Xenopus tropicalis: one gene and its partners. The protein of the gene in region 1 binds, or shares a complex with, the protein of each later gene. Links are inferred from orthologs where the notes say so. Each region holds a gene or a part of one and is shown in the gene's direction. Other genes may lie near its edges. The genes, in order: cacnb3, stac3 and cacng1.

Region 1 (8,363 bases):
CATCAAACTGTTCAGTGGACCCCTGGTGTTCAAATTCAGGGTGTTTTATCTTGGTACCTAATGCTATGTGGGAGATAAGATGCTGCAAAGTGGAAGCTTTGAGGGGATTTTTGGAAATGTCATCAAAATTGCTAACTTTAGAAAAGCTGTGCGGCTTGGTACTTTGGAGTAGAAAGACATGGGTACCCATTTTAGATTCGGGGGAATGTGTACTTTCCAAAAATATATGACTTTCTGGGGTGAGCGTACTTTTTTGTAGCTTTATCCCACATATAATAATGTAAATGTGTTGATTCTGCAGGAGCTGAAATGACAGAAATGACAGTTCATATGGGGGTATGTTCACATTGGGGCCCCTACATGCCACATACTTAGGTAAACCTATACATATTGGGCATCAAACTGTTCAGTGGACCCCTGGCGTTCAAATTCAGGGTGTTTTATCTTGGTACCTAATGCTATGTGGGAGATAAGATGCTTCAAAGTGGAAGCTTTGAGGGGATTTTTGGAAATGTCATCAGAATTGCTAACTTTAGAAAAGCTGTGCGGCTTGGTACTTTGGAGTAGAAAGACATGGGTACCCATTTTAGATTCGGGGGAATGTGTACTTTCCAAAAATATATGACTTTCTGGGGTGAGCATACTTTTTACTAGCTTTATCCCACATATAATGATGTAAATGTGTTGATTTTGCAGAAGCTGAAATGACAGAAATGACAGTTCATATGGGGTATGTTCACATTGGGGCCCCTACATGCCACATACTTAGGTAAACCTATACATATTGGGCATCAAACTGTTCAGTGGACCCCTGGCGTTCAAATTCAGGGTGTTTTATCTTGGTACCTAATGCTATGTGGGAGATAAGATGCTTCAAAGTGGAAGCTTTGAGGGGATTTTTGGAAATGTCATCAAAATTGCTAACTTTAGAAAAGCTGTGCGGCTTGGTACTTTGGAGTAGAAAGACATGGGTACCCATTTTAGATTCGGGGGAATGTGTACTTTCCAAAAATATATGACTTTCTGGGGTGAGCGTACTTTTTACTAGCTTCATCCCACATATAATGATGTAAATGTGTTGATTTTGCAGAAGCTGAAATGACAGAAATGACAGTTCATATGGGGTATGTTCACATTGGGGCCCCTACATGCCACATACTTAGGTAAACCTATACATATTGGGCATCAAACTGTTCAGTGGACCCCTGGCGTTCAAATTCAGGGTGTTTTATCTTGGTACCTAATGCTATGTGGGAGATAAGATGCTTCAAAGTGGAAGCTTTGAGGGGATTTTTGGAAATGTCATCAAAATTGCTAACTTTAGAAAAGCTGTGCGGCTTGGTACTTTGGAGTAGAAAGACATGGGTACCCATTTTAGATTCGGGGGAATGTGTACTTTCCAAAAATATATGACTTTCTGGGGTGAGCATACTTTTTACTAGCTTTATCCCACATATAATGATGTAAATGTGTTGATTTTGCAGAAGCTGAAATGACAGAAATGACAGTTCATATGGGGTATGTTCACATTGGGGCCCCTACATGCCACATACTTAGGTAAACCTATACATATTGGGCATCAAACTGTTCAGTGGACCCCAGGCATTCATATTTAGGGTGTTTTATTTGGTTACTTTATGACCTGTAGGAGATAAGATACTATAGACTGGAAGCTTTGAAGCGATTTTTAAAAAAAATCACAAATTTTGATAAAAACCAATAACTTTAGGAAAGCATTGCGACTTGATAGTTTGGAGTAGACAGACAGTTGTGCCTATTCTGTATTCCCCAGAATCTGTTCTTTCCAAAAATGTACAATTTTCTGGGATAAACCTTCTGTTAGTGGAATTTTGGCCTTGAAATCCAAAGTATGCAGTTTTTTTGGAGCAGTGCTTTGGGAATTTGGTAGTGTACTGCTGGGAGTTTTTGACCTATACAAGTGAGAAATCTCCATAAAACTATATATATTTGGTATTGGCACGTTCAGGAGACATGGGACTTTCCAAATCAGTTGTATATTCGTGCATAAAATAATTTTTGTTTCTAGTATGTGTGATTATATTATGGAAAATTTGATTTTTTTTGCATTTTTAGACATTTAGAAGCCTATATCTTGTTACAGAATTGGAATTACACAAAAATTCTACCATATTTTGAAAGCTTAGGTTGTTCTGAAAAAAACGATATATTGTTTTCCTTGGTAAACTAAAAGTCCCCCCGAGGAAAGGCCCCTAAAGTGAAACAGTGCAAAATGTTCAAAAACTGTCTGGCAATACAAGTTCCGCTTTGACCAAAATGGCTGGCAGTAGAAGGGTTAAACCCTTCCAAAACCTAATAAGAATATACTAATTAGGATTCGGACTCGGTTTGGTATTTGCCCAACTCTTTTACGAAGGATTCGGGGATTTGGCCGAATCCGAAAAAGTGGATTCGGTGCATCCCCATAATACATAGTAACACCAACCTGGATTAGAGTCCATCACATTCAACTTGTAGGAAACATTTTACAAATTGATTTAGAAGAATGGGAGCTGCCAGTTGGGGCACACAGAGAGGAATGATTTCCTTCTGAACTGATTAAACTAAACTGATTCTGAATTATTCCCTTCTAAACTTAGAAAGGTAAATTGCAAACTAATTAGCCTAATATGGACTTACCCCATGTTCCATCTTCCCTCCAATATCAACACAATTAGTGGCCATTTGGCAAAGCACTGGTGGATACAATTTCTTATTCCGCAATAGAAGAGTTGAACTTTCATTTTAAACAATGAAAATTCAACTCTCAATAGTTTCAAAGGTGGCTTTTTGCTGTTCTCACCTTGCCATATGGCAGGAGCGGCCCTGCTGCCTAACACAGGCAGCACTGTATTCACTGAGGCTGTCACAGGTGCAGAGACCTGTGGCAATTCAAAAATGTGGAAGGCAGTGTGCAAAGTGCAAACTTAAGATTGCACCCTTTATTTGCACTTTGCAGCCTGCCTTTCACTTAGTTAATGACTCCCTATAGTCTTTATAGAACTCATATCTCCATCTTTTTCCATTCAATATAATGAAAGAAATTGATCAAGGCTTCTATCACAATGTGTAGTTACTCCTGCTGTATATCCATCACTGAACATGAGCTCATAGCCCTGCCAATAAAGGTCATTGCCTGTAGATGTGGAATTATTGCTCATTGTGAGTGGCCTTAAAGGACAGGGAATGGTAAGCTATGTGCCGGGGGCTGCTCCTTGCAGAATAAAAAAAAAATCCATTTGTGCCTTTCAAAGATTTTTTTCCCCCCCATTGTGTTGCCACAAGCCATTAATACAATTATTCGGCACTTAAATGTCTGTGAATCCATTATTTCAGCCAGGCTTAGGCACTGAGAGGTGGAAATGAAATGAGAGAAACAGAAGGAGGAGTAAGAGAGGCAGGGAAGGGGAGAAATTGTGTGTTTTGTGTGTGTTTGATGGAGAGAAAAGCTATGAGCACAGCGAGGCAGATAAACAGAGAATGCAAAGTCTGCTTTGTATATAAAAAAAGCTTCTGAGAGTGCGGCTTTGGGCTATTTATGCCCCTTCTATGTCTTTCTCTGACTCCAGTGCAACATTTCTTCTGAATGAGGTAACCATTTGCCTTTCTTTACTGCCTTAAAGGGAAGGTTAGTGTTGTTGCATTGAGGGCTATTTTATCTGAAGAACAGAGCAGCTTTTTGGGGATGTGCAATGAGCCATGTTGTGCTTAGTGCTTTTAATATAAAACCTCTTGCTTTTTACTGAAACACAGAAGAATGGTAAACAAAGGTAAAGGTGGGGATAAAAAGGCACAGGGGATAGGTACCACCATTGACCACAAACAGAAAGAAAACTGGGAAGGGGCATGCTGGTACATTAATATTGTGTGTGTGGGGGGGGGAAGCAGTGAATAGGGATACTACTAAATTGTCTTCTATAGGATTATGAGCAACACCAATGTCACTGTACTTTGTTGTATTGAATCGTTAGTGTATGAATCCAAAAATAAAGGTTAAAAATTAATAGTAATAAGGCACCATACACTCGGCAAAAGGAAAACTTAAAAGGCAGTAGCTATTGCCAGGTGGAATGATCTTTTATTATATGGAAATGTATAAGAAGAAAAAACAAATAGACAGCGATCATGGAGAAACTGACAGCTGCTGACAAGCAACAAATGAACATGATTTAGCCAGGGAGGGAGGCTGAGACGGAGGGAAAAGGATCAGGCATGACAGGCTCTGGCTCAGCTGGATTGCAAGAGATGGCTCCTAATCAGCTTGTCTCTGATTTTAATTGACTGTTAACTATCTCATCATTGCCTTCTTTCCCAAACCACCCATAATCCACGGCTGTGTTGAAATCAGCTTTTACACTTGCCTCCATTATCCTACCTACATGCCATGGTTCTGTTTTCTCTGTGACTAATAACATAGATTTGCTGAGCTACACATATAATAAGCAGTCGGGCCCCACTAACCCAATAGTCCTTGGTGGATTTACATTAGAAATTAGAGTATTTTTATCTGCCCAGAACCATTAAAGTGGAGATTCATCTTAAAACGAATTTACAGCATGGGAATGCTGTTCTTAGTCAATATCATCATCATTTATTATTATAGCACCAGAAATATCCAGTTTTGATTTTGATTTTTCTTTGTGATGGTTTAATTATTTCTGCTGCTGTGTTGTTAAAAGCTGAGCTTGTGTGGTTGCTAGAGTAAAGCTGGGCATACAATGTAAGATCCTCTTATTTGGCATGGTCACCAATACATGTTTCAATAAGCTGCCAAAGGATCAAGTCAGCACCTTTTATGAGCCCATGTATGGCAACATTACAAGGGATAGTGGTTTCAATGGCAGACTGGACACAGAGCCATTTCTGCAATAAGTGCAAATCACACCCAGAAAGTACTTTACACTGGTAAAAACAGAACCAATTTTCTATTGTAGCGCATTTGCTCACAGATGGCAGCAAAAACAAAAATTTTATGGTTTTCATGTTCTTTTCCTTTTCATTCTGCATTTTTATTCGTTTGTGCTTTTTCAATTTGGATCTTTTAATAAATGACTAGACCTTCATAATTTTAGTGGAAATGAGTTTAGTTGTGGTTTCAAAAAACTTATAATTATAGTTAGTGGATTAAACTAAATACAGGTATGAGATCCATTATCCAGATAAATAAATCATATCTTGAAAAAATATTTCCTTTTCTCTGTAATAATAAAACAGTATTATACAATTAATCCTTATTGGAGGCAAAACAATCCTACTGGGTTGATTTAATGTTTACATTTTTTTTTTAGTGCCGATCCAAATTATGAAAAAGACACCTTATCTGGAACACCCAAGGTCCTGAGCATTCTGGATAACAGATCCTTTACCTGTATAGTGACTCTATATGGTCTTATTGTTGGCCCAAGTGCTCTGTGTTACATAAGCCTGATTTTGGCCGCAACTTGATGTGCTAAATTGGCCAAAGATTTATTTGTTTGCCATCTAAATGAGTACATTTTACGCTGTTTACCCTATATAGCTGGCCATCTTTGGTGATCACAAAAGGACTGTTTCGGGATATAAATGTGCATGTTTTAAGATACATTAATGGCAATTAATGGCAATGATAAGGGTTACGTGAAAGAACATGAATTGTTAGATTTAGGCCTTAAAACTAATGCCACAAGGAGTGTATTTTCAGCAAGCCTGAAAAATGTAACAATTGGCCTACCTTATGCCTGCACCCGAATGAGTGGAATACACTGGGGGCAGGCACATGTAGCCGATATCCACCAAAAAACGTGAGACTTTGCATTTTCAGCAGATATTCACTGTGGGCCCTATCACTAGAATGTAAAGGCTGCTCCCCTCCATAAGTATGCCATTGACTGTACTCCTTGCCATGTGTAATGTACAAAAACATCATAATGATGTCACTACTAAACATGCGTTAATGAGTTTGCAAGTCGGTGCAGAAATGCAGAAAACAGATTGTTGCTGGGTTTGAGCATACTGGGGACGTGGCCAATTAGGCATATGGTGTCCCTCCCTCTATTTTTTTAGACAACCCTGGTTGGAGGGATGGGTAAAGCATTCTGTTCCTCCCCTAATTCATTCCTTGCTGGAATTCTGTGGCCCCTATCCATACATAAGACATTGCATGAAACTGTATGTTTCATGCAATGTCTTATGTATGGATAGGGGCCACAGTTATGCACAGATACATATGAAGGCTCATTTCCAAAAAGAGTACAATGTGCAATGTACAAACTGCAAAATTCAAATGCAAATCACCATTTTTTTTCAGCATAAAGCAGGCAGAGTATGACACACACAGGCAGCATAGGGCAGGCAGAGTATGGCACACACAGGCAGCATAGGGCAGGCAAAGTATGGCACACACAGGCAACATAGGGCAGGCAGAGTATGGCTCGCACAGGCAGCATAGGGCAGGCAAAGTATGGCACACACAGCCAACACAGGGCAGGCAGAGTATGGCACACACAGACAACATAGGGCAGGCAGAGTATGGCACACACAGGCAGCATAGGGCAGGTAGAGTATGGCACACACAGGCAGCATAGGACAGGCAAAGTATGGCACACACAGGCGGCAGCATAGGGCAGACAAAGTATGGCACACACAGGCAGCATAGGGCAGGTAGAGTATGGCACACACAGGCAGCATAGGGCAGGCAGAGTATGGCACACACAGGCAGCATAGGGCAGGCAGAGTATGGCACACACAGGCAGCATAGGGCAGGCAGAGTATGCCACACACAGGCAGCATAGGACAGGCAAAGTATGGCACACACAGGCAGCATAGGGCAGGCAGAGTATGGCACACACAGGCAGCATAGGGCAGGCAGAGTATGGCACACACAGGCAGCATAGGGCACGCAAAGTATGGCACACACAGGCAACACAGGGCAGGCAGAGTATGGCACACACAGGCAACATAGGGCAGGCAGAGTATGGCTCACACAGGCAGCATAGGGCAGGCAAAGTATGGCACACACAGCCAACACAGGGCAGGCAGAGTATGGCACACACAGACAACATAGGGCAGGCAGAGTATGGCACACACAGGCAGCATAGGGCAGGCAGAGTATGGTACACACAGGCAAGATAGGGCAGGCAGAGTATGGCACACACAGGCAGCATAGGGCAGGCAAAGTATGGCACACACAGCCAACACAGGGCAGGCAGAGTATGGCACACACAGGCAACATAGGGCAGGCAGAGTATGGCACACACAGGCAGCATAGGTCAGGCAAAGTATGGCTCACACAGACAACACAGGGCAGGCAGAGTATGGCACACACAGGCAACACAGGGCAGGTAGAGTATGGCTCACACAGGCAGCATAGGGCAGGCAGAGTATGGCAGTACCCTACACTGCCTTACCCTGACTGTGTGTGCCATACTCTCCCTGCTTACCCGGCCTATGTGTGCTATACTATGCCTACCCTACCCTACCTGTCTGGTTTTTGCCACCCCGGTAACGTGAAGGTTGTTGCCGTCATGAGGTGAGTTTTCAGCTTGCCCTGCATATAACTTTACCTCTCTCAGATTCAGTCATACAGTCAATGTCACACATTTCAGGGATAAATTATCCTTTATCCCCCAAATGTGTGACATTGACTGGCAGGGCCAGTACAATACCTACTGGGTGGCAACCCTAGCAATTGTGGTGAATTTGCCAAATTGGGTACAGCTGCAGTAGGAGCAGTTCCCAGCATCTAGAGATAGGTGCAGATTTTTGTTCTAGTGCCTGATTCTCTTTTGTACAGATGTACCAGGTGCTCTTTTTTCAGCTTCCGCTCACCGCTGCCACAGTGGAGAAATAAGAAAAGTAGAAAGACAGTAAAAAAAAAAGCATAGATTAAAAATGCATGACACTAGTCCAGGATTCATATATACAAAACAAGGCACAATATAAAAGTTTAATCCCCCAAATATGAAAATTTAATCTTGATAAAACAGGACAGAGATAATTACACAGGATGCCACATTATTATCACACACTAAGCCCGTGGCCTGGTGGTTGTTTAGATCTACAGGGCCCTTCTGTACAACTTAACAAAGGGAATAGACAGGTTCCTTCAGCTTTTGGGCTTGGGCAGTGAGACCATTATCCCAGAAGACATATGTTAAATATTTTTATGACATACGTTAGCGATGTCCAACCGGCAGCCCTTCATCTGCTGTTGAACTGCAACAAGCACTATGGGAGAATAATGAAAGCTGTAATTCTGCAACAGCAGGAGAGCCACAGTTTAGACAACCCTGATTTATCATTTTCCACTTCAAACTGGGTTCAATCCTTTCTTCATCAGCCCCTTTCTAATACCAGCCTTGATCATC
Region 2 (8,553 bases), about 4.2 Mb from region 1:
AATGTAAGTAATATATTTATGATATAAATGTATTTATTTATTTAAAAAAAAAAATGTCAACACTCACAGGATTTTGTTACGAAAACAAAAAGAGTATTTCATTCAAAATACCCATCAGCGTTTCGGCCCCACTGAGTACGTGTTTTTTTTGCTCTTTGCTGTCGAAGGTCCCTATGGGAGACTGAACCATTGATGGATATTTTGAATAAATTACTATTTTTGTTTTCATAAAAATCCTGTGAGTGCTGACATTTTTAATATTTCTACACTGTAGCTCAGGCACCCAGATTAGGCTTTTGTAATGGTGTGCACCAATAGTAAAACATCCTTTACTATAAACAATGAATGTGTAATACAGATACCTGAATCTCAATACAGGGCATGAGCAGGTTGCTAGTATTGTCCCTCTGAAGGGGCCATGCCATAAGCAGCGAAGGCAAACAGATATACAGCCATAGGATGTACATAGAACTCCCTGTGTATCTATGGATATATCAGCTGGTTCACCTAGGATGGCACGTGGGCAAACAGGAGGCAGGGACAGCTGCTGCTCAGCATATTTTACCATTAGCTGGGGAATGTTTCCCCTGACTGATTTAGCAGTTCTGCGTTACTGTTTGTTTTTCTTTCATCGGGGGGCAGGGGGGGCTGAACCGGATAATGCTGGGTGCAGAATTTGTATCCTTAAAGGGTGGTTCAATTTTTCATTAACTTTTGGTATGTTATATAAAAAAAATATAACAAATTTTCAATTGGTCTTCATTATTTATTTTTATAGGTTTTTTTTAAATATTTGCCTTCTTCATCTGACTCTTTCCAGCTTTCAAATGGGGGTCACTGACCCCAGCAGCCAAAAGACTATTGCTCTGTGAGGCTAGCACTTTTATTGTTACTTTTTATTAGTTATTTTTCTATCAGGGACCTCTAACATTCTTATTCCAGTCTCTCATTGAAACCACTCCCTGGTTGCTAAGGTACTTTGAACTGCTGAAATTCCAAACTGAACAATTGTTGAACAAAAAAAACACAAAAAATGAAGACCAATTTTAAATTGTCTTAGAATATTACTCTCTACATCAGGGATCCCCAACCTTTCTTACTCGTGAGCCACAGTCAAATGTAAAAAGACTTGGGGAGCAACACAAGCACCATAAAAGTTCATGGAGGAGCCAAATAAGGGCTAAGATTGGCTATTAGGCAGCCTCTATGCACACTATCAGCTTACAGGGGCTTTATTTGGTAGTAAATCTTGTTTTTATTCAACCAAAACTTGCCTCCAAGTCAGGAATTAAAAAATAACTCCCTGGTTTGGGGGCACTGGGAGCAACATCCAAGGGGTTGGGGAGCAGCATGTTGCCCCTGAGGCACTGGTTGGGGATCACTGCTCTACATCATACTGAAATGGAGCTACTTAGTACAGTACTTGTCACGGCTACTAAACACCAGAAAATACCCTGCTATAGACAATACTATGAATTGCCTCTGCTAAAACACACATAGGGGCAGATTTACTAATCCACGAATCCGAATCCCGAAAGGGAAAAAATCGTATTGGAAACGAAAATTTTGCGACTTTTTCGTCGCTGTCGCGATTTTTCGTATTTGTCACGACTTTTTCGTTGCCGTCACGACTTTTGTATTTTGCGCAACTTTTTCATCGTATTGAGCGATAGTAAATGGCGGGAAAACCAATCTGATTTTTGAAAAAGTCGCGGAAAATATACGAAAAAGTCACGATGGCGCCGAAAAAAAATAGTGGGACATAAGAAAAAGTTGCGACTGCAACGACAAAGTCGCAAAAATACCGTTCATTACGAAAAAACTCATAGGGACGCTTTCGGCCCGTTCGGGGATTAGTAAATCTGCCCCATAGAGACAATTATCAGTAAATGATCAGCATTGTCTATTTTAGTAGCCGTGACAAGTAGCTGCTACTAGTAGCTCCGTGTGTCTTCGCCCTAAGCCTGTGTGTGAATAAACGGGTGTATAGCCAACAATTATTAAATGGGTCGCCATGAAGCCCTGACTTGCAGTACCACTTCTCACCGTTGCAGAGATCTAATGTTTTTTATAGACCGAAACATAAATGTGCTGCTGACTTGCTGTTAACTGAAATTGTTAAATGAAATGCAAAAGCTATTTCTTAATTAGCAGAGAGACCCTTAATGTCTGTTTTAGAGAAAAAGGGTAATACTTCCCCTTAATAGTTTCATGGTGTGGGAACATCCAAGGCCAGGGTAAGTGTAAGGGTAGAGCAGAGACAGTGAAGATACAAAGTTTCAGTACATACCTGCAGCCCTCTAACTGTTACTGACTTGTAGCTTCAGCAGGTCAAACCCATGTTGTGTGGTTTGTTTGGCTTCCCCATTATCTGCTCTTTGTATGAAAGATGCTCTGCCATATATAATAGGGTGACAACCCTGTGCCTCCTCTAAACGGGTGACATTTAATTGTTTTTATTATCACTGGTTGATCATTTGTACCACTATTCCATCTGCTGATCAAGATGTTGCCCTGCGCATGGTGCATCAGCAGACGAGCAAACTGGTGCTGGAAACACATATAAACTTATAGCTGCTCCATTCTAGAAAGTTAACCCCCCCCCGTAACAAATCTAGCTGCACATTAGCACTAAACGGAAGAGCGTCACAATAAAATGTACACTTTTTTATGCTATGAGAATAATTCTCCAGATTTTGAACAGAATAAAAAAAAAAATAGAATGTTGTGTTCTTTGGTCATCAAGGAGACTCATTGGAGACTCCCCTGCCCCCCTGAATTGGCTTCTGTGCCCACTCCCATATGAATCCCCACACCTGCCTGTTCTCTTACCTGAAAGCTGACGCGGAGCAGAGATTTATATGCAGTACTGGAGGAAGCAACCCCTGTGGTCCGGGCCCCCCTGTCCCCTGCCCCCCCCCCCATCCTGGTGACTGTGGGGTCTGCTTCCTCCATTCTTACGCCACTGTTAACTTTTAGTATGATGTAGAGAGTGACATGCTGAGACAATCTGCAGTTGGTCTTCATTTTTTATTATTGGTGGTTTCAATGCATTTAGCTTTTTGTTTAGCAGCTATTCAGTTTGGAATTTTAGCAGCTATCTGGTTGCTAAGTTTCAAATTACCCTAGCAACCAGGCAGTAGTTTGAGACTGGAATATGAATAGTAGAGTGGATGAATAGAAAGATAAGTAACCCCCGTTTGAAAGCTGCACAAAATGATACAAAAAATATAAAAAGACCATTGAAAAGTTGCTAAAAATTGGCCATCCCATGAAATTAATTTAAAGGTGAAACACATTTCCTGAAATTATTATAACAGAATGTTTAGAGCCAGTGTTGGAATGTTTTGAGTCTCTTGAATTCTATCCATGGAATGCAGTGAATGTGTTGGGTAAAATATCTTCCAATGCTTAGCATACTGACTGCCATTTTTATATTACACAAAGCATATAAACTGGTGATTCCCCAACACATAACCTTTAGTATTTCACAGAGCAATTTAATCTAAGCAATCTAAGCTTTATAGATGTTTTTCTTTCTTCTGAATAATTTACCTTTCTGTTTGCCTCCCTTCTGGAATTCCTTCTGCCAAACCACAAACAGGCCTGAAGCCTTTTCCTGGCATTTCATATTCATTAGTGGGAAAGAGGGAAAAAAAAGCACATTTAAAACCAAAACATATTATCATTTCCAAGTTGAATTCCAGTAAAAATAGGAATTGTTTTGTGTGTGTGACAAACTCCCAGGAATGAAATGACTCCTGCGCTTTCCTCAGTTTCCCACCTCTCAGCCACCTCTCCAATTCCTGGTTGGGCCTACTGCCTCCGTGCTATGGCTGCTTGTAAAGTTTCCGATTTCTCTGTGTCAGCCTTTGCCTCTCAGCTGTCCTGTCACCTCCACACTTGTCACTCCCTCTCCTCTGAGGAGCAGTTTGTTTCATTATCTGAGAGGAGTGAACGAAGGATCTCTGTGCCCCTCACCTAAGGTCTGAAAGTGCCTTCTGAAGACAAAATGTTCCAGTAGATCCCCATCTGAGAACTACAGGTGTGTAAGGTTTGTCTAGGCATTGTACGCCATTTCTGTTTGCCCTTTAATGCTTCTTTGTATTTCCTTTTAAATGATCTTTATGCCACATAAAACAAAATATCATGTACCTGCTTGGATTTCATTTTAGTTATCTTGTAAAGAAAATTCCACATACACAATGTTTCGGCCACATCAAGGTTGTTAATAAATATATTGATCTTTATCATTATTTATAGCAATGATATATTTTTGTGAGTTTAAATACAGTGGAACTGTAGTGTTTCAGCTGAGGCAGAAGCGCAGGGATTCTGATAGTTGTAGTTCAGCAAGAATTATGGGGGAAAGGGGGCAAGATGCCTATTCCTGAAATAGGCACATTACCTTGGTTTCATTTGCTTTTCTGACTATAGCAAGTCACTAACAAATGCTTAACACAAATTGTAAGCTCTTTAGACAAAGATTTATTGCTTTACAGGGGATGCAATCATTATAGTGTTTGTTCTAATACTTTAGATCACTGTATAGGGATTTCTTGTGACAGTGATTTATTTCAGTTTTAGAAATATTTTATTTATCTTTATGTTTGCATTTAATGTCTATATCCTGTTACTTCTGCCTTATGGCTGAGATTCTAGCTATCCTTATAAAATAACATTTGGTTATAAGAGTCATGGAGCACCGGTCCGGAACCCACTGTTTCCATCACTGCAGCCTTTACAGTCCTTAAATGGATACACGGAATGCTGGAAAACTAAGCTTAGGCAGCGCAAACCAAAACACTGTTGCAATTTGATTTTATATCATAAGTAAAAGAAAATCGAACAGATCTTGTTTCTTTAAGTCTTGCCTAGTAGTTAAAACATTTTTCAAACATTCTACTGCTTATTCATTCCCCCCGACATTATAATCTGATAATTTTTTTCATGCTGTGAAACAAGTTGGCTGCCATACATTTTAGAGAACCAATAAAATAGCTTATAGGCATATCTTATCTAATCGACTCATTTTCAAAACCCACTGTGATCACCCATCTTTCCTCCCAGTGTGTAAGCAATAAACTTTAGTGGGTGTGTCAGTGGCACTTTGCCAAACATCCGCTTACATTCCTGCCAATGCTGATTAAAAATGGGGATATTTGTGGCCATGTTTCCACTCCACAAGACCACACCCAAACCTGCCCATAACTCCACCCACTTTTCAGTAAGCCTGCGACCATTTCATAACCCAAAACATGAGACTGCCCTAGCTAAAATGGAATGGTTAGTGGCCAAAAAAATTGTCTTCTCTTGTCTTTAACTTTTATTTATTCTAGGATAATTCCATACTAGATATGTTAGGGGATCTAATGTAATTTAATCTCTTTACCTCTTGTTTGGTCCTAATAGCTGCCTCCTGGGGCTGTAAGGTAGTGTGAAACACACACATCACTCAGGTGCTGCCAAAGACTCCCCAATAAGAAACACCAGTATGTTCTTCCATTCAGTAGCAGCCTTTATACATGTACAGTATGTGTGTGAGTATGAGTGCCAGCATCTACATCTACTTCCATCCAAATATTTTGGAAGGTGCTTTCTCTTTACAACAAGATGCAAACTGCCTGTGTCACATTCACTGTTTCTGTCCTGTCTTTGGACACATAAGCTGTTAATTTTAACCCCTCGCATCTACAAAAAGTATACAGTCAGCTGCCAAGCCTTTAGAATTTGTGTGGGATGATGTCCCATCAGAGCGCTCAGACAGAGTACAGCTGTTATCAGCCATCAAACATGGCTTTTAATATCTCCAGGGCTTCAGTTACACTGCTTACGAAAATAGTTTGTCCACAAAACCCCAAGCACTGTCTGTGGTTAATATACCGAAAGCTTCAGGCGTCTATGGTTTTCTGCTTGCTGTATTTGCGTAATTATACTGCATGCATTCAAACAATGGTATTTAAACAATGTGTAGGTGGCATATAGGAATACAGCTGGTAGGGAGTATGGCGCCAACAGCTCTAGAACACCCTTGTGATGAAAGAATTTTCATAGTTCCAGAACGTTCAGTGAACTAGTGGTTCTCTGTACAAAATACGATGATGAAAGAATTTTCATAGTTCCAGAACATTCTGTGAACTAGCGGTTCCCTGTACAAAATATGAGATGAAAGAATTTTCATAGTTCCAGAACATTCTGTGAACTAGCGGTTCCCTGTACAAAATATGAGATGAAAGAATTTTCATAGTTCCAAAACATTCAGTGAACTAGCAGTTTTCGGTACGAAATACAATGTTCTGTTGCTTCATTAGATTACACATGGCACCCATAGGGATCCTCAAAGAAAGCATTTACTGACTGGATCAGATGTCGGATACAGGTATGAGATCTGTTATCTGGAAACCATTTATTTAGAAAGCTCCAAATAATGGAAGGGGACATCTCCCATAGACTCAATTTTACCCATATAATTTTATTTTTTTTTCTCTGTAATTATGAAACAGTGCCTTGTACTTGATGGTAGCTAAGCTGTGAATCCATATTGGTGGTAAAACCATCCATTGGGTTTGTTTAACGGTTTAATTATTTTTTTTTTTGTGGACTTAAAGTATGAAGATCCAAATTATAGATCCATATAGATTGTAAGCTCTACGGGGCAGGGACCTCCTTCATCTTGTGTTTCTGACTCTTATTCCAACTGCACCTTGTATTTATTGTTGTACTTTGTATTTATCCATTATCTTTTGTATTTATCCATTATCTTTAACCCCCTGTCTGTATTAATGAATTCTACTGTACAGCGCTGCGTACATAAGTAGCGCTTTATAAATAAAGATATACATACATACATTATGGAAAGAACCCTGAGCCTTCTGGAAAACAGGTCCCATACCTTGAACACACAGATATAATGCTAGTTAGCACAATCCTGTATTTTAGCCTCATGTATTTGGATTACTCTGTAGGCTACTGTATCTAGATAGCAGCCAAAATAAACTTATGGTAAGTCAGTATTTATGAATCAACCATTTTTATGGCAGTGTACAAAGGGGGCGAAAAATTAATAGAGGCTGAATCCTGCCTTTTTGAAGCTCAGCTGTTCTGTGACAAAGCTGGCGGCTCCAGAAAAAGGTTGTCATTACATTCTGACTCAGAGAGGCATGGGATTGATCTCTGCATTCGTTACATTCTTTTGTTCTTCAGAATTTAGAACCTTTGTAACCTTCTGGCACCCTACTTCCACTGTATGCTCTATGGAGCAGAGACTCACATACCTGTAGATACTGGAAATGTCTAAAACAAGAGAAAAACTTGTAGCTTCCCTAGTGAAATCCACTCTGCTGAAGCCACAAATCAAGAGAAGTATCTGTATTCTGCTGCAATAACTTCTACATGACTATGATGGAGCAAACTTACTGCCCATAGCAGTCTTCTCCTTTACAAGCCACGTGGGGGAGGATTAAGCCCGTAGAACCAAGCTGTGGTCCTGGCAATCTCTCTCTATAAAAGCAGAAGGCATGGGAGTGACTAAGCCCTCTGACTCAAACCAGCCCCCAGGTCAAGAATGGCAACAGGGCACGGGAGTGACAGCCTTAGAAAAATATGACCAGAGGTAAATAGATAGGACCACCATATGGGGTTTACCTTGACGTGGTATGGTGGCTTACCAATCTTATGATCATAATTTTGTAACTAAAAACCCCTGTTTTTTGTCAATACATGCACTAGCATAGACAATTTACTTACTGTATGAAACAGGGGACCAGGGAATGTGCATTGATCAATCCCCCTCTCTTTTTGTATGCTAGGCTCCAAATTACCAGAGAAACCAGGCAGGTTTAGAGATTAGAATATGAACAGCAGAGTAGTAATAAAAAATGACACTAGCAATAGACATGTAGCTTCACTGAACAATTATTTATGGGCTGCTGGGCTCAATGACCCCCATATGAAAGCTTGTAAAAGTCAGATGAAGAAGGCAAATAATTAAAAAAAAAACAATAAAAATAAAAAATGACGACCAATTGAAAAGAATTTGCATTTCCATAGCATATTAACATTTTACTTGAAGGTTAACTACCCCTTTAACACTTTGGATACTATCATTGTACAATGCTGTTATTGACATTTGTTTGGGGAGTATCCCTTTTGTTTTTTTTTTATTCCAAAGATTCAATTGTATTATGTATTAAGCATGTGCTTAAAATTTACATTTTTTTCTTTGTTTGGTATGGTGCAAAAAGCGTATATTTGCCAAAACAATCACCAAAAGAAATTCTAGCAAGGATTTGTAAACATTTTTTGACAATAAATTATAAATATTATAACAGCAGTTGCCAAACCCTAGTGATGGCCCTTTTGTAGTGGCCTGGGCAGTGACAGGGTGGACTAAAGACTAATGTCCATTTACAGTAAGATTTGTGGAGAAATTCTTATTCCCTCCTAGATACACCTGAAAGCTCACAGTTAAAGGGAAACTATACCCCCAGAATGAATACATAACCAACAGATATTTATATTATGTTAAGTGACCTATTAAAGAATCTTGCTGGA
Region 3 (8,430 bases), on another chromosome or scaffold:
TTGGGGTGAGTCAGGGACTGGGGGGTTTTGGGGTGAGTCAGGGACTGGGGGGTTTTGGGGTGAGTCAGGGACTGGGGGGTTTTGGGGTGAGTCAGGGACTGGGGGTTTTTGGGGTGAGTCAGGGACTGGGGGTTTTTGGGGTGAGTCAGGGATTGGGGGGTTTTGGGGTGAGTCAGGGACTGGGGGGTTTTGGGGTGAGTCAGGGATTGGGGGGTTTTGGGGTGAGTCAGGGACTGGGGGGTTTTGGGGTGAGTCAGGGACTGGGGGGTTTTGGGGTGAGTCAGGGATTGGGGGGTTTTGGGGTGAGTCAGGGACTGGGGGGTTTTGGGGTGAGTCAGGGATTGGGGGTTTTGGGGTGAGTCAGGGACTGGGGGGTTTTGGGGTGAGTCAGGGACTGGGGGGTTTTGGGGTGAGTCAGGGATTGGGGGGTTTTGGGGTGAGTCAGGGACTGGGGGGTTTTGGGGTGAGTCAGGGACTGGGGGGTTTTGGGGTGAGTCAGGGACTGGGGGGTTTTGGGGCGAGTCAGGGACTGGGGGGTTTTGGGGTGAGTCAGGGATTGGGGGTTTTGGGGTGAGTCAGGGACTGGGGGGTTTTGGGGTGAGTCAGGGACTGGGGGGTTTTGGGGTGAGTCAGGGACTGGGGGGTTTTGGGGTGAGTCAGGGACTGGGGGGTTTTGGGGTGAGTCAGGGACTGGGGGGTTTTGGGGTGAGTCAGGGACTGGGGGGTTTTGGGGTGAGTCAGGGATTGGGGGGTTTTGGGGTGAGTCAGGGACTGGGGGGTTTTGGGGCGAGTCAGGGACTGGGGGGTTTTGGGGTGAGTCAGATGTTCCTGGGAGTCGGATTCCCTAACTGTGGGTGCTGTAGCTCAGGAGTCGCAATGGATTCGCTTCACTTGTCCCATCGCATCAGTCGCAGATTCCTTTCTGCTGTTTAAAGGACAAGTAAACCCAAAGTGTTCATTCCTTTTGCTGAAATGGGGCCCAGCCTTTGCCCAGGGAAGCACATTGGCCCACGTTTCACTCCAACTTCAGTTCCCCCCTTAACCCCCGACTGGGCCAGCGGGAGAAACTAAGTCCCAGGGCTGATGGGGGGGGGGGGGGGATTTACTCACATTAACACCTCGACCACTGAGAGGCCTATTGTTACTGGCCCATCCCGCTGCCCCCCGGCCAATCACATCTTCTACACTCAGAACTACCGCATCCGATTGGCCTAATCTGGGCCCCAAAACATTAAGGAACATTAAGTGGATATTGGGGAGTGCAGAGTTCCCCTTTAATAAACTGCATGGTGTCACTTTACATGGTACTGTGCCCCCCCCCCCCCCAATCCTGCATAAAGCAATGAGGGGGTTGATAGTGACTTGGTGCAAGAGGCTGAAAGGAGCAAAGGCTAGTACAGGGGCAGTATGGGGCAGTTGGGGTAGGAGCAGGGGCATTATGGGGCAGTTGGGGTAGGAGCAGGGGCAGTATGGGGCAGTTGGGGTAGGATGGGGCAGTTGATCAATAGTAGGGGCAGGACGGGGCAGTTGGGCTAGGAGCAGGGGCAGTATGGGGCAGTTGGGGTAGGACGGGGCAGTTGATCAATAGTAGGGGCAGGACAGGGCAGTTGGGCTAGGGGCAGTATGGGGCAGTTGGGGTAGAAGCAGGGGCAGTATGGGACAGTTGGGGTAGGAGCAGGGGCAGTATGGGACAGTTGGGGTAGGAGCAGGGGCAGTATGGGACAGTTGGGGTAGGAGCAGGGGCAGTATGGGACAGTTGGGGTAGGAGCAGGGGCAGTATGGGACAGTTGGGGTAGGAGCAGGGGCAGTATGGGACAGTTGGGGTAGGAGCAGGGGCAGTATGGGACAGTTGGGGTAGGAGCAGGGGCAGTATGGGACAGTTGGGGTAGGAGCAGGGGTAGGGGCAGGGGCAGTATGGGACAGTTGGGGTAGGAGCAGGGGCAGTATGGAGCAGTTGGGGGGGGGGTATGGGCAGTTGGGTAGGATGGGCAGTTGATCAATAGTAGGGCAGGACGGGGCAGTTGGGCTAGGAGCAGGGGCAGTATGGGGCAGTTGGGCTAGGACGGGGCAGTTGATCAATAGCAGGGGCAGTATGGGCAGTTGGGGTAGGAGCAGGGGCAGTATGGGACAGTTGGGGTAGGAGCAGGGGCAGCATGGGACAGTTGGGGTAGGAGCAGGGCAGTATGTGGCAGTTGGGGTAGGAGCAGGGGCAGTATGGGGGCAGTTGGGTAGGAGCAGGGGCAGTATGTGGCAGTTGGGGTAGGAGGCAGGGGCAGCATGGGACAGTTGGGTAGGAGCAGGGGCAGTATGGGGCAGTTGGGGTAGGAGCAGGGGCAGTATGGGGCAGTTGGGGTAGGAGCAGGGGCAGTATGGGGCAGTTGGGTAGGACGGGGCAGTTGGGGTAGGAGCAGGGGCAGTATGGGGCAGTTGGGGTAGGAGCAGGGGCAGTATGGGGCAGTTGGGGTAGGAGCAGGGGCAGTATGGGGCAGGATGGGGCAGTTGGGGTAGGAGCAGGGGCAGTATGGGGCAGTTGGGGTAGGAGCAGGGGCAGTATGGGGCAGTTGGGGTAGGATCAGGGGCAGTATGGGGCAGTTGGGGTAGGACGGGGCAGTTGATCAATAGCAGGGGGTTGTGCAACTATCAGAGTGACAGGAGGGACGGGGGAAGTTGCGACACTTGGAGTGAAGGTGGCACCCCCCCCCCGCTCCGTGTATTAATAAGCCCCCCCCGCCCCCCCACCCATGTCTGTGCCCAGTTGGTGACTGATCCCAACAGCTGCTCCCGGGCCCGGCCCATCCCAGTCTCCCCCAGTGTCGGCCCCAGTAGCACAAGGAGCCACAGAGCAGAGGGAGTAGACTGAGCGCTCACTAGCCAAGGGCCCCAGCCAGTAGCCATGAAGGAGCTGAAGGTGCTGAAGATCCGGGTCACGTCCTGTATCGCCCTGGTGGGCATCTCGCTCATGTTGGCGGCCGTAATGAGCGACCACTGGGCCGTACTGAGCCCCAAACTGGACGACGACACCCAGTCCTGCGAGGTGGCCCACTTTGGCCTATGGAGGCTGTGTAAGAAGAAGATTTTCATGAGTGATCAGGAGACTATGATCAAGGGATGTGGCCCCCTGAGCCTTCCTGGGGGTAAGTAAGTCAGGGTAACCAGGCAACAAAGATTCTTTCCCCAACTTGCCCCCCAAATTCTGATTCCAGGGTTCCCATTTCATCTGGGGGCCAACCTGTAACTGTTCCACATAGGGGGGCTGGAGTGTGGGGGCCGGGGGGGCCCTACTTAATGAACAATTGATATTGGTTCCTTATTGCCGTTGGGCACTCACTGGGTAGGTCCCTTGGGCGCTCACTGGGTAGGACCTCAGGGCGCTCACTGGGTAGGACCTCAGCCGGGCACACTGGGTAGGACCCTTGGGCACTCACTGGGTAGGACCCTTGGGCGCTCACTGGGTAGGACCCTTGGGCGCTCACTGGGTAGGACCCTTGGGCGCTCACTGGGTAGGACCCTTGGGCGCTCACTGGGTAGGTCCGTTGGGCGCTCACTGGGTAGGACCTCAGGGCGCTCACTGGGTAGGACCCTTGGGCGCTCACTGGGTAGGACCTCAGGGCGCTCACTGGGTAGGACCTCAGGGCGCTCACTGGGTAGGACCTCAGGGCGCTCACTGGGTAGGACCTCAGGGCGCTCACTGGGTAGGTCCATTGGGCGCTCACTGGGTAGGACCTCAGGGCGCTCACTGGGTAGGACCTCAGGGCGCTCACTGGGTAGGACCATTGGGCGCTCACTGGGTAGGACCATTGGGCGCTCACTGGGTAGGACCTCAGGGCGCTCACTGGGAAGGACCTCAGGGCGCTCACTGGGTAGGACCTCAGGGCGCTCACTGGGTAGGACCTCAGGGCGCTCACTGGGTAGGACCTCAGGGCGCTCACTGGTAGGACGATTGGGCGCTCACTGGGTAGGACCTCAGGGCGCTCACTGGGTAGGACCTCAGGGCGCTCACTGGGTAGGACCTCAGGGCGCTCACTGGGTAGGACCTCAGGGCGCTCACTGGGTAGGACCTCAGGGCGCTCACTGGGTAGGACCTCAGGGCGCTCACTGGGTAGGACCTCAGGGCGCTCACTGGGTAGGACGATTGGGCGCTCACTGGGTAGGACCTCAGGGCGCTCACTGGGTAGGACCTCAGGGCGCTCACTGGGTAGGACCTCAGGGCGCTCACTGGGTAGGACCTCAGGGCGCTCACTGGGTAGGACCTCAGGGCGCTCACTGGGTAGGACCGTTAGGCACTCACTGGTAGGACCTCAGGGCGCTCACTGGGTAGGACCTCTGGGCGCTCACTGGGTAGGACCGTTAGGCACTCACTGGTAGGACCTCAGGGCGCTCACTGGGTAGGACCTCTGGGCGCTCACTGGGTAGGACCTCAGGGCACTCACTGGGTAGGACCTCAGGGCACTCACTGGGTAGGACCTCAGGGCACTCACTGGGTAGGACCTCAGGGCGCTCACTGGGTAGGACCTCAGGGCGCTCACTGGGTAGGACCTCAGGGCGCTCACTGGGTAGGACCTCAGGGCGCTCACTGGGTAGGACCTCAGGGCACTCACTGGGTAGGACCGTTGGGCACTCACTGGGTAGGACCGTTGGGCACTCACTGGGTAGGACCTCAGGGCACTCACTGGGTAGGACCATATGGCAATCCGCTGGCCTATGAGGCTCAGTATACCAAGGCAGGACCATCTATCACTGGTGCGGGGGGAGTAGGGCCCATGGATTATAGGAGGGGCCACCTCTGTCTGCAGCCCCCCCACACTCATGGGTCTGCCCCCACCCAGTGGCCCCATGTGTGGTGATTCAGGTGATGCCCCTCCCCAGTATCTGGTCACTGGGGGTAAGAGGCAGAGCAAGGGACCCCCTAAACTTCTCCCTGCCCTCTACCCCATATTTCCTACCCCTATGGGGGGTTGTTAGTGATCACTGGGCAGAGGGAAATACATAAAGTATGTATGTAAATAGGTATGTATGTATGTAAATAGGTATGTATGTAAATAGGTATGTATGTAAATAGGTAAGTATGTATGTAAATAGGTATGTATGTATGTAAATAGGTATGTATGTATGTAAATAGGTATGTATGTAAATAGGTATGTATGTAAATAGGTATGTATGTAGGTAAATAGGTATGTATGTATGTAAATAGGTATGTATGTATGTAAATAGGTATGTATGTAAATAGGTATGTATGTAAATAGGTATGTATGTAGGTAAATAGGTATGTATGTATGTAAATAGGTATGTATGTAGGTAAATAGGTATGTATGTAGGTAAATAGGTATGTATGTATGTAAATAGGTATGTATGTATGTAAATAGGTATGTATGTATGTAAATAGGTATGTATGTAGGTAAATAGGTATGTATGTATGTAAATAGGTATGTATGTAGGTAAATAGGTATGTATGTAAATAGGTATGTATGTATGTAAATAGGTATGTATGTAAATAGGTATGTATGTATGTAAATAGGTATGTATGTAGGTAAATAGGTATGTATGTATGTAAATAGGTATGTATGTATGTATGTAAATAGGTATGTATGTAAATAGGTATGTATGTAAATAGGTATGTATGTAGGTAAATAGGTATGTATGTAGGTAAATAGGTATGTATGTATGTAAATAGGTATGTATGTAGGTAAATAGGTATGTATGTAGGTAAATAGGTATGTATGTAGGTAAATAGGTATGTATGTAGGTAAATAGGTATGTATGTAGGTATAATTTGTGTACAAATTGTAGCCAAATATTGCTTCTAGCTGCTATGTAGCCTTTAAACCAATGAATCACTTCCATGTGAGTGCTACTGAGCTGGGGTTTGAGCTAAAGGTGCAATAGGTCTCACTACTCACTCACATTGTTTCCTGGGGGACTTTATTTTAATTGCATCACAGACTCAAAGTCATTAGACAGTGTAGGACTCGCGTATAATGAGGGGCCTTGACGCGGCACGTGAGCTTACATATTTTGGCCAAAGTGTGGTACTAACACCTCATTTTTTGTAAAAATTATTTTTAAAGGCAAACTAAGCGCTGGCAAACTTTCTTTCTCTATGTATGTAGGTATGTATGTATGTAAATAGGTATGTATGTAAATATGTATGTATGTAAATAGGTATGTATGTAAATATGTATGTATGTAAATAGGTATGTATGTAAATATGTATGTATGTAAATAGGTATGTATGTAAATAGGTATGTATGTAAATATGTATGTATGTATGTAAATATGTATGTATGTAAATAGGTATGTATGTAAATAGGTATGTATGTAAATAGGTATGTATGTAAATAGGTATGTATGTAAATATGTATGTATGTAAATAGGTATGTATGTAAATATGTATGTAAATAGGTATGTATGTAAATATGTATGTATGTATGTATGTAAATAGGTTTGTATGTAAATAGGTATGTATGTACGTAAATATGTATGTAAATAGGTATGTATGTACGTAAATATGTATGTAAATAGGTTTGTATGTATGTAAATAGGTTTGTATGTATGTAAATAGGTATGTACGTACGTAAATATGTATGTCTGTATGTAAATAGGTATGTATGTAAATAGGTTTGTATGTATGTTAATAGGTATGTACGTACGTAAATATGTATGTCTGTATGTAAATAGGTATGTTTGTACGTAAATAGGTATGTATGTAACTAGGTATGTATGTACATAAATATGTATGTAAATAGGTTTGTATGTATGTAAATAGGTATGTATGTACATAAATATGTATGTAAATAGGTATGTATGTAAATAGGTATGTATGCACATAAATATGTATGTAAATAGGTATGTATGTAAATAGGTATGTAAATAGGTATGTAAATAGGTATGTATGTAAATAGGTATGTATGTAAATAAGTATGTATGTACATAAATATGTATGTAAATAGGTTTGTATGTATGTAAATAGGTATGTATGTAAATATGTACGTATGTAAATAGGTTTATCTGTATGTAAATAGGTATGTACGTAAATATGTATGTCTGTATGTAAATAGGTATGTATGTAAATAGGTATGTATGTAAATAGGTTTGTATGTATGTAAATAGGTATGTACGTATGTAAATATGTATGTCTGTATGTAAATAGGTATGTACGTACGTAAATATGTATGTCTGTATGTAAATAGGTATGTATGTAAATAGGTATGTATGTAAATAGGTTTGTATGTATGTAAATAGGTATGTACGTATGTAAATATGTATGTATGTAAATATGTACGTATGTAAATAGGTTTATCTGTATGTAAATAGGTATGTACGTAAATATGTATGTCTGTATGTAAATAGGTATGTATGTAAATATGTACGTATGTAAATAGGTTTATCTGTATGTAAATAGGTATGTACGTAAATATGTATGTCTGTATGTAAATAGGTATGTATGTAAATAGGTATGTATGTAAATAGGTTTGTATGTATGTAAATAGGTATGTACGTATGTAAATATGTATGTCTGTATGTAAATAGGTATGTACGTACGTAAATATGTATGTCTGTATGTAAATAGGTATGTATGTAAATAGGTATGTATGTAAATATGTATGTAAATAGGTTTGTATGTATGTAAATAGGTATGTATGCAAATAGGTATGTATGTACGTAAATAGGTATGTATGTAAATAGGTATGTATGTACGTAAATATGTATGTAAATAGGTTTGTATGTATGTAAATAGGTATGTATGTACGTAAATATGTATGTCTGTATGTAAATAGGTATGTATGTAAATAGGTACGTATGTAAATAGGTTTATCTGTATGTAAATAGGTATGTACGTAAATATGTATGTCTGTATGTAAATAGGTATGTATGTAAATAGGTATGTATGTAAATAGGTTTGTATGTATGTAAATAGGTATGTACGTATGTAAATATGTATGTCTGTATGTAAATAGGTATGTACGTACGTAAATATGTATGTCTGTATGTAAATAGGTATGTATGTAAATAGGTATGTATGTAAATATGTATGTAAATAGGTTTGTATGTATGTAAATAGGTATGTATGTAAATAGGTATGTATGTACGTAAATAGGTATGTATGTAAATAGGTATGTATGTACGTAAATATGTATGTAAATAGGTTTGTATGTATGTAAATAGGTATGTATGTAAATAGGTATGTATGTACGTAAATATGTATGTCTGTATGTAAATAGGTATGTATGTATGTAAATAGGTATGTATGTATGTAAATAGGTATGTACGTACGTAAATATGTATGTCTGTATGTGAATAGGTATGTATGTACGTAAATATGTATGTAAATAGGTTTGTATGTATGTAAATAGGTATGTATGTAAATAGGTATGTATGTACGGAAATAGGTATGTATGTAAATAGGTATGTATGTACGTAAATATGTACGTC

What was found.
Region 2: cacnb3 (region 1) and stac3 share a complex: the UniProt entries of both Homo sapiens proteins name them as parts of the calcium channel complex. The link is inferred for Xenopus tropicalis from reciprocal best matches to the Homo sapiens genes CACNB3 and STAC3.
Region 3: cacnb3 (region 1) and cacng1 share a complex: the UniProt entries of both Homo sapiens proteins name them as parts of the calcium channel complex. The link is inferred for Xenopus tropicalis from reciprocal best matches to the Homo sapiens genes CACNB3 and CACNG1.

The regions. Positions count from the first base shown.
Region 1 is NC_030678.2:135,901,715-135,910,077, forward strand, and holds the start of cacnb3 (voltage-dependent L-type calcium channel subunit beta-3), read left to right. Parts: upstream 1-3,456; 5' UTR 3,457-3,567; coding exon 3,568-3,609; intron 3,610-8,363. UniProt on the Homo sapiens protein: Regulatory subunit of the voltage-gated calcium channel that gives rise to L-type calcium currents. Increases CACNA1B peak calcium current and shifts the voltage dependencies of channel activation and inactivation.
Region 2 is NC_030678.2:140,075,037-140,083,589, reverse strand, and holds the start of stac3 (SH3 and cysteine-rich domain-containing protein 3), read left to right. Parts: upstream 1-3,946; 5' UTR 3,947-4,054; intron 4,055-8,553. UniProt on the Homo sapiens protein: Required for normal excitation-contraction coupling in skeletal muscle and for normal muscle contraction in response to membrane depolarization. Required for normal Ca(2+) release from the sarcplasmic reticulum, which ultimately leads to muscle contraction.
Region 3 is NC_030686.2:51,095,531-51,103,960, forward strand, and holds the start of cacng1 (voltage-dependent calcium channel gamma-1 subunit), read left to right. Parts: upstream 1-2,836; 5' UTR 2,837-2,893; coding exon 2,894-3,134; intron 3,135-8,430. UniProt on the Homo sapiens protein: Regulatory subunit of the voltage-gated calcium channel that gives rise to L-type calcium currents in skeletal muscle. Regulates channel inactivation kinetics.